Linked DNA regions of Canis lupus familiaris. The protein of the gene in region 1 interacts with the protein of each later gene in a pairwise test. Links are inferred from orthologs where the notes say so. Each region holds a gene or a part of one and is shown in the gene's direction. Other genes may lie near its edges. The genes, in order: ZC2HC1A and CASTOR1.

What was found.
Region 2: the proteins of ZC2HC1A (region 1) and CASTOR1 interact in binary tests that used the Homo sapiens proteins (3 or more experiments, as listed by UniProt). The two-hybrid records come from large-scale screens. The link is inferred for Canis lupus familiaris from reciprocal best matches to the Homo sapiens genes ZC2HC1A and CASTOR1.

The regions. Positions count from the first base shown.
Region 1 is NC_049250.1:26,927,020-26,930,749, forward strand, and holds the end of ZC2HC1A (zinc finger C2HC domain-containing protein 1A), read left to right. Parts: intron 1-363; coding exon 364-529; 3' UTR 530-2,933; downstream 2,934-3,730.
Region 2 is NC_049247.1:23,849,976-23,854,472, reverse strand, and holds the start of CASTOR1 (cytosolic arginine sensor for mTORC1 subunit 1), read left to right. Parts: upstream 1-1,684; 5' UTR 1,685-1,806; coding exon 1,807-1,919; intron 1,920-2,544; coding exon 2,545-2,615; intron 2,616-3,759; coding exon 3,760-3,947; intron 3,948-4,026; coding exon 4,027-4,159; intron 4,160-4,418; coding exon 4,419-4,497. UniProt on the Homo sapiens protein: Functions as an intracellular arginine sensor within the amino acid-sensing branch of the TORC1 signaling pathway. As a homodimer or a heterodimer with CASTOR2, binds and inhibits the GATOR subcomplex GATOR2 and thereby mTORC1.

The DNA.
Region 1 (3,730 bases):
CTCCATCTTTCCTGAGGGTGAGGTTCCAGTTTTCTCTTTAGAGATGGTTTTGCAGAAGGAACATTGTTATAAATTTCCATTCTATGCCCGTTGTGGTATATGCCTAGTACATTGAGCAGATGGAAAGTGTGGTGGCATTTACTCGTGAAAAATTCTCATAATCGGGACAAATACAATGCCAAAGAAAACATTTAGAATTTAATTATTAACTAAAAGGGATTTTTTTAATCTGAACTAGAAAAATCTTAAAATTGAGATTAAGCAAGCTTTTATGTATACTTAATATTATGTCCTGTTTTCTAAGGGTATGAAAACTATTGACAAGAACTTTGTGTTTCCACTTTTCTTCCTGTACTCCTTCAGGCCAGATGGAGACTATATATCTTCACTTAATGGCGGAAACATTAAAGGCACGGAAGGAAATTCAACAGGACACTTACCAAAATTCTGCCATGAGTGTGGGACTAAATACCCTGTAGAATGGGCAAAGTATTGCTGTGAATGTGGCATTCGAAGAATGATTCTGTGAACAGAGTCCAAAAGAAAAAGCTAAGTCTGGAATTTTATGACTGTTGCTGCTTGCACAGCTAGAGCACTTCCTTTAATGATTTTATGCTAAAATTATTCAAAATACTTTTTTCGGCAATTTTTGGAGCATAATTCTTTGGCTGTGTAATGTGTATGTGTATATATATATATGTGTACATATACTGTATATAATTAATACCTGATAGCCCAAACTGTGCCACTCAAGGAAATATTCACTCATCTGTCAGAAAATAATTTCAAGTGGAATCATTAACTTAGGTATTACTTTTCTGTTGTTGTTAAAGCACATTAAGCATACCTTCACAAAATCAAATGCTAGTGCTCAGCCCTTCAAGCTTTAGGATGATCAAAAAATTTGAGCAAAAAATCAGAACAAACATATTATCGGTGCTTATTTTCATATAGTATTATAGGGTGGGATGCTTGGAATTTTGGAAACAGTACATTCAGTTACAATTAGTTATGTGAGGTCATTTTCCTGAAGAGCTCTTCAACAATTAATTTTATAAATAATTGAAAAGAGAATAAAACCCCTATACTATGTTGTTTTTTAATTGATATATCATTAATTTTATAATTTAGAGATCTTTACTCATTCTTTAAAATGTAATTATGTAATTTCCTTTTCAGAGACACAAGATTAAAAAATATAAATATATCTTATTCCAGTTATAACTGATTTTTTTACCTCAGTGTGTTAGTTGAATGTATATTCTAATTGTGTCTCCATATTTCACTTTTTCCTTTTTTATAAACTTATGTCTGAGGCATTTTAATTTACTTTTTGCAAAGTTTGAAAATAAGAGGCATAATATTTAAGAGGCATGAAATTCCTTAAAAAATTCTACATGTTTATTTCTGTGTCTAAAATTAGAAGAAATTATTTTGATGGATTTTAAAACAAACCACCTCACCCTAATAAATAATTTGGATAATTAATCATTACTACAAGGCATGCAGGTAAGAAGTATTTTAATTTTTTAATTTTAATTTCCCTGAAGTATAGTTAGATGTAGTGATGAGCTGTTTAAGAGACTAATTTTTCTTTCTTATATTTTATTTTTAGTGTTTAATACTAAAACACCTTCACATCACAGTAAAAAAAAACACTGAAAATGCACTGCTTTAATGCACAGCTGACTTATGTAACTAAACATTCACAAAAATTTAATTGTACTTTGACTTTGGCTAACCTACAGCTTTTAATCATTATCACTATCAATGTGACAGTATTTAGTAGTAGATACTTTGATTGTCTGTGCAGCCATGTTCAGTAACTCCTTAGTGGTTTCTGTGGAGTAGAAAGAAAAGAGCTTTGATCTTATAAAGATACAAGCAAATCTTTTATAGGTCATTTCTAGCTTCTCTTTTATGACTGTGAGCAAATATAAGGGTTAATGCAGAAATTTGTGGCTTTTAATTTTCTCTGAAATTTATTTATGCTTATACTTTATAATTGTATTCCTTAGGTTTTTTGTTTGTTTTTTGGTTTTGTTTTTAGTGTTTTTTGTTGTTGTTGTTGTTTTCCATTCAGCAGGGGATATGAACTTTGAAGTAATGGGAATTGTTGTTTTATTTACCTTATAGTTTTTTTCCTGACTTTTCATTAATTTTAAATCTGGTTGTCTTTATTCAGTCATATTGACCTAAAAAGTCCATTAACTACAATAAGCTGTAATTAATTTAGGAGAATAGTGTACATATTAGATTTTCATTTCAATAATATATGTTATTTTGTTCTGTTAACAAATCATATGAAGAACTTTAAACTTTGTTTTCCCTGGAACTGAGCACTATTTTTCTTTTTCCAAGTTTTTTTTTTTTTTTTTTTTTTTAAGACCAGGTAATTTAGCCCAAAGAAGGGATAGATAAATGAACTTAAACAAAATGGCACATGTTTGTTTTTCACAGAATTTTGCAGTAGCCAGTAAATGTTATAATGTACTACATGGAAAATGAGTTGGTAAAAAATCATCCAATTCTAGAACCCAGAGATTATTATAAACAGTAAATAGGTGAAGTACACTTAGAAATTATGAAATATGTTGTGACAGTGTTTTTAAATGCGTTTTTGTTACCTACATATATTATTCTCACATTGATTTGTTGTGCAATAGTTCAGTTTATAAGAAATTTTCCTAGATCTATGCATCATTTATTTTTATTTATTTTTACAAGTATTTGCCAGTGTGGTAGAATAAAGAAATGATTGTTAAGCTTAAATTAAAAATGTAAAAATTGCTTATATATTATTCTGAAAGTCACTAGCTTGAGAAGTAAGATTATTATGGTTGCTGTTGTCTCTTGTTCACTCTTTTTTTTTTTTATTACAAATACTGTCTTCATTTTTGAACCTATTCAATAAAGACATGAAGCAAAAAAAATTCAGGTGGTCTTTATTGATGTCTTAGCTTTTAGCCAGACATAGGTAGAAAGATAAGAGCACACTGAAATAAGAAAAAAATGTTCAAAGCCAAAATACAGATTTTTAAAAATGAGATAGTGCTTTTCATTGGCAATTTTTTTTGTGCCATCATATTTTAAAGAAATTGCAATTATTTTATTGAAGTGTTTTATGACATCTAAATATTACAAATATATTTCATTTCAAGATTTCTAAGAAAAATTTTCTTTGGCCAGTAAAATATAGCAGTTGAAAACATGAAACATTGTGGATATTTCTAATAATATGTAGTTTAATGGCAAAAACTATTGGTTTATGATCAATACTTAGTGATTTAAACTATCATATTTAAAATTTTAAACAGTTGTCGCTAGTAGAAATATCAAATTAGACATGTTTGATTTGTACTCAGGGAATTAAAAATAATAGAAGAGGTACACAGCAACAGAGAGTCAGCAGAAGTCTTGAGTCTTTTTTTGCATTGCAGGTATATGTATTTTCTATGATGGATATATTTTTATTTATTTTTATTTTTTATTTTTTTTAAAGGGGGTTGATAAGTAGTTATCTTTCTTTCTTTTTTTTTTTTTAAGATTTACTCATTTATTTATTATAGACATAGAGAGAGAGAGAGAGGCAGAGACACAGGAGGAGGGAGAAGCAGGCTCCATGCCGGGATCCCGACGCGGGACTCGATCCCGGGACTCCAGGATCCCGCCCTGGGCCAAAGGCAGGCGCTAAACCGCTGAGCCACCTAGGGAACCCCGATGGATATAT
Region 2 (4,497 bases), on another chromosome or scaffold:
AGCTGAATGGGAAAGATGAAGCTGGTCAATTTGCACCTAGAGCCCCCTGTGACCAGGGTGCCTGGTGATCTGGCAATGCCACTGAGGGCCCAGGCAGGCACTATGGTCACGACCTGATGACTGTCAAGGGTAAGGACACGGTGTCCCTGGGAAAGGCCCCCCTTCTGCTGAGGAAGCAGCTTTTCCAGTCAAACAATAGCGGCTGTTCCTGGCAGGCTACCAAGCTGGGCTGGGCCATGGTGGGAGGGAGTGGGAGAGGGAGGAGTAGAGCCTCCCTAGGAGTTTTCAGGCATCACAGGGCCTGGGCCTGGAACACCCTGTCATGATACATCTGGGGATACTGAGGCCTAGGGAGGTCAAGTGTCATGTGAGTCTATCAGGGCAGGCTACCCACTTCCTGCCTTCTACCCCTCACCTCTGTGGTTTCCCACCCCATTTATACCTGCCACGAGAGGCTTTGAGGACACTCCCCTCCCCCTGGCTCTCCAGGGGACAGGCCAGGATGTGGCAGCTGCAGTGTTCCTTGAGCCAGAGAGGCCAGGGAGGGAGGGTGCTGCCCAGCTTCCACCCGCCTACAGTAGAGGTTTCTGAGCAGGCAGGAGGCTTGTGTAGGCCTGCTGGGTCCCAGTCAGGCCTGAGGCCGGCTTTAACCTGTTTGGTTCAAAGCCTCAGATCTGAAGCCTGAGGATGCTCAGGCCAGACAAGGGCCCCCCAGAGCATGCTCTGTCCTGCTACAGGACCAGCCTAGGTGTGCTGATTATCTGCTTAAAACTGAGCAGAACCCAATTCTAATGTTGAAATGAGCCCAAGTTGGTCTTATAAGCCTCAGATCTGGGGCATTTGCCAATGCCCAGGGCCTCCATGGGCATGAAGCAAGCTTACATGTGCTCAGGCCAACTGGGTTCTGCTAATAGGCTGCAGGCTTTGGGAGGCTTCAACAGGGCTCAAGTCTCAGGTCTGAGATCTGAGTACCCAGTGAGCCCCAGACACATGGGCCTGTCCCCAGAAGTCAGCCTTGAGCATCCCTGGCCTAAGCACTTAGTCTTGAAGGGTCTCAAGCCATAAGCCTGACCACCTTCATTCCCCTACCCCACAGTATGTTGCTCAGATATAAGTGGCTGGCCCTCCCCAAATCTGTACCCTAGTGTGTAAGCGCCTTCTTCCTCCATAAGGAGAAGGGGGGGAGAAAGGCGGCAGGACCCTTGGTCGGGAGAGAATCTGAGCATCACGGGGGCTGCACAGCCTACCCCTCCATGCTCCAGGGTTTTCTGGGCAGCACTCTGGTTCCAGCTGAGCCCCGGTTCGCCTCGCAGCCCTTTGGAGCTTCAAGGTTATCAATTATTAGACCTATATATGGGGGCCTGAAGGACAGAAACAATTCCAAGACCTCCCTCCTGCTTCGGACCCTAGCGAGGAAGGCGACCCGCGGAAAAGGCGGAGCCCGGGGAGGGGGCGCGGCATGGGCGGGGCCTGAAGGACCCCCCGGGGTGGGATCAGCCCGTGATTCCCCCGAGCAAGGCTGAGGGGGCGGAGTCACCAGGGGCGGGCTCGGCGGGCAGGAACGTGAGGATTGAGGCTCTGGCCTTGGGAAGGAGGCGTGGCCACTCTGGATAGGCCGTCCGTCCGTCGGGGCGTGGCCGTCAGGGAACTGGACGCGGCATGGGGTTGGGAGGGTCTGCAGCGTAGCGGGCGGCGTGGACGCGGCCACACAGCGGCTCCTTTAAGCCCCCGGCACCGCCCCCCCGCCCCGCCCCCGGCGGCGGCCTGGGTCTGGTTGGCGGCGGGGTCGGGTCCGCGCGGACCGTGATGGAGCTGCACATCCTAGAGCACCGGGTGCGGGTGCTGAGCCTCGCCCGCCCAGGTCTCTGGCTCTACACTCACCCGCTCATCAAGCTGCTCTTCCTGCCCCGCCGCAGCCGGTGCGCGCCCGGGTTCGGGGGCACAGGTGGGGGTGGGCTCCGCTGTTGCTCTGGGACGGGGCCGGGGATTCACGTCGCCGCGGGGCGAGCGGGAGCGGTCGGGGAGGGCCCTTCTCCCTAAGCCCCCCCGCCCCCCCGAGGCCGCCATCCGGCTTGGGCCTACCCTCCCCGGGACCGCCGCCTATCCGGCCCTGTGAGGCGCCGTCCCAGAGCCAGTTACGGCGCAAACAACCTGGGTGAGCAATGCCTAACTCCAAGTGGTGTCAAATGGGGGCAATTCCTTCCTGGCGACTGCGGGGAGCTTCTTCCAGACGCCCTCCCGTCGGGTCAGAGGGGCTGGTCTAGGGCGCCCAAAGTCCGATGCTCCCGGGGGCTACGGGGGCGTAGCCGCGGGCGAGCCTCTTCTCCTTCCGGGAACCGAGGGTCGGGAGCTCCCGCAGAGGTCGGGAGGCGAAAAACAGTTCGTGATTCCGGTGTTGAAGCCCACGCCCCACTGGCCCGGGGAGAAAACTGAGGCTCGAGGGGGCAGGGAGGCGTCCTGCTGGGGTCTTTCCGGGCGCCTGGAGCGAAGTCCTGCACGCCCCTTCCGCCCAACCCAGGCTGAAGATGCTCCCCCCGCCTCCAGGTGCAAGTTCTTCAGCCTGACGGAGACCCCCGAGGATTACACGCTCATGGTGGACGAGGAGGGCTTCAAAGGTGGGGGCTGGGCCGGGGAAGGGTGGCGTGCTCCCCTATTTGCGATTCTCACTAGATCCTGGAATCCAAAGTCCCAAGAGCTGGAGCCTTGAAAGCAGATGGGTCTGGGTTCGAATTCGCCTCCACTGCACACTGGCTGTGTGCCCTTGAGCAAGTCATTTCCTCCCACTGAATTGTTTGTTTCCTCTTACGTAAAATGGGTATAGTTGTGGTTCTGATCATAGGGTCCCATGAAAACTTTATAGACAGGGCTGTGAAGGGCACTTGGCAGCCTCAGGCCAGTTGCAGGGCCAGTTTAGGGCAAGAATCAGAGGTTCCTATTGCAGTTATATTCCCCCTGGCCATTATTTCTCCCTGCACTTATCTCTCTGGTGCCGGTCACCCCCTCCCTGGCTGGTCTGGGAACTCCAGGAGTCTGAGGGTTGGAAAAGGAGTGCAGGAGCAGGCAGCCAGCCCATGTCCAGGACCTGGGGGGCCTCCTGGCTGCTGCTGTGGCCTGGACACCAGCCTGTTTTCTCCCTGGTTCCTGAAGCTGACATCTGGCTCCTACTCCTGCCAGCCTGACCCCTCTTCACAGGCCTGGAGTCGCAGACCACGAAACTGAGGCTCGGCCCATACTTCACTGCAGCCTTTTAGACTTTAGTTTCCCCGTTTGTACTGCAGTAAAGTCTGGGTCGGCTAAGGGAGAAAGGCTTCCTTCAGCCAACCTGGTTTGTTGGCGCCCCCTGCTGGTGCCACATGGTATAAAACCTCTGTTAGTCTAAGAAAAGCTATCATGAGGTGTATACTCTCAATCCCATTTTACTGATGAGGAAACTGAGATCCGGGAGGTTAAATCATTGACCTCGGGTCAACAGCAAGTAAATGGTGAAGCCGGGATTTGAACCCAGGTCTGTCTGACTCTGGAGCTCCAGTCTTAACTGGGAAGTTTCCATCCCTAGCAGGCCAGCACCTGAAGCACTTCTCAGTTCTTGCATACATGCAGCTCAGGAGCAGAACTTGGGAGAGGGAGACAGCCCCAGTCTCCAGACCTGCCATTACCTTCGTAGAACCCCCCCACCCCCAATTCCTGGACAGACAGGGAAGCCAAGGGGCAGGGGCCAGCCCAGTAGGCCCTGACCTGGTATATACTTCCTGCTCACAGAGCTACCCCCATCTGAGTTCCTTCAAGTGGCTGAGGCCACATGGCTGGTGCTGAACGTGTCATCTCACAGTGGTGCAACCGTGCAGGCTGCCGGAGTCACCAAAATTGCCCGCTCGGTCATTGCACCACTGGCAGAGCACCATGTGTCTGTCCTGATGCTGTCCACTTACCAAACGGACTTCATCCTGGTGAGTTTTCTGCAGGCTCCGGGGCAGGGTGGGCATGGGTGCCTGGGGACTCGTGTTACATCCTCCTCTTGTGGTCCAGGTGCGGGAACAGGACCTGTCCGTGGTGATCCACACGCTATCCCAGGAGTTCGACATTTACCGGGAAGTGGGCGGGGAGCCTGTGCCTGTTGCCAGGGATGATTCCAGCAATGGCTTTCCCCGTTCGCAGCATGGTGAGGCTACCCTCACACCCAGACCTAGGCAGGGCCTCCTCTTTCCACGGGGGCCCTTCCCTTATGAGAGCTGGTCTGTGGACGTGGGGATACCGGCTGACACAGACTGCCTCACAAGATAGGGAGATGTGGTGGAGAAGAGGGTTCCTGTAGAGCAGGACCCTAGCCTCCACCCAGGCCCCTCCCTATCTGGCCACCAGGGGGCGCCCCAGCCCACAGTCGCCCTAACAGTAGTTCTCTGCCTGGTCCCTCCTCCCAGGGCCCAGTCCCACGGTGCATCCCATCCAGAGCCCACAGAACCGCTTCTGTGTCCTCACATTGGACCCTGAGACACTGCC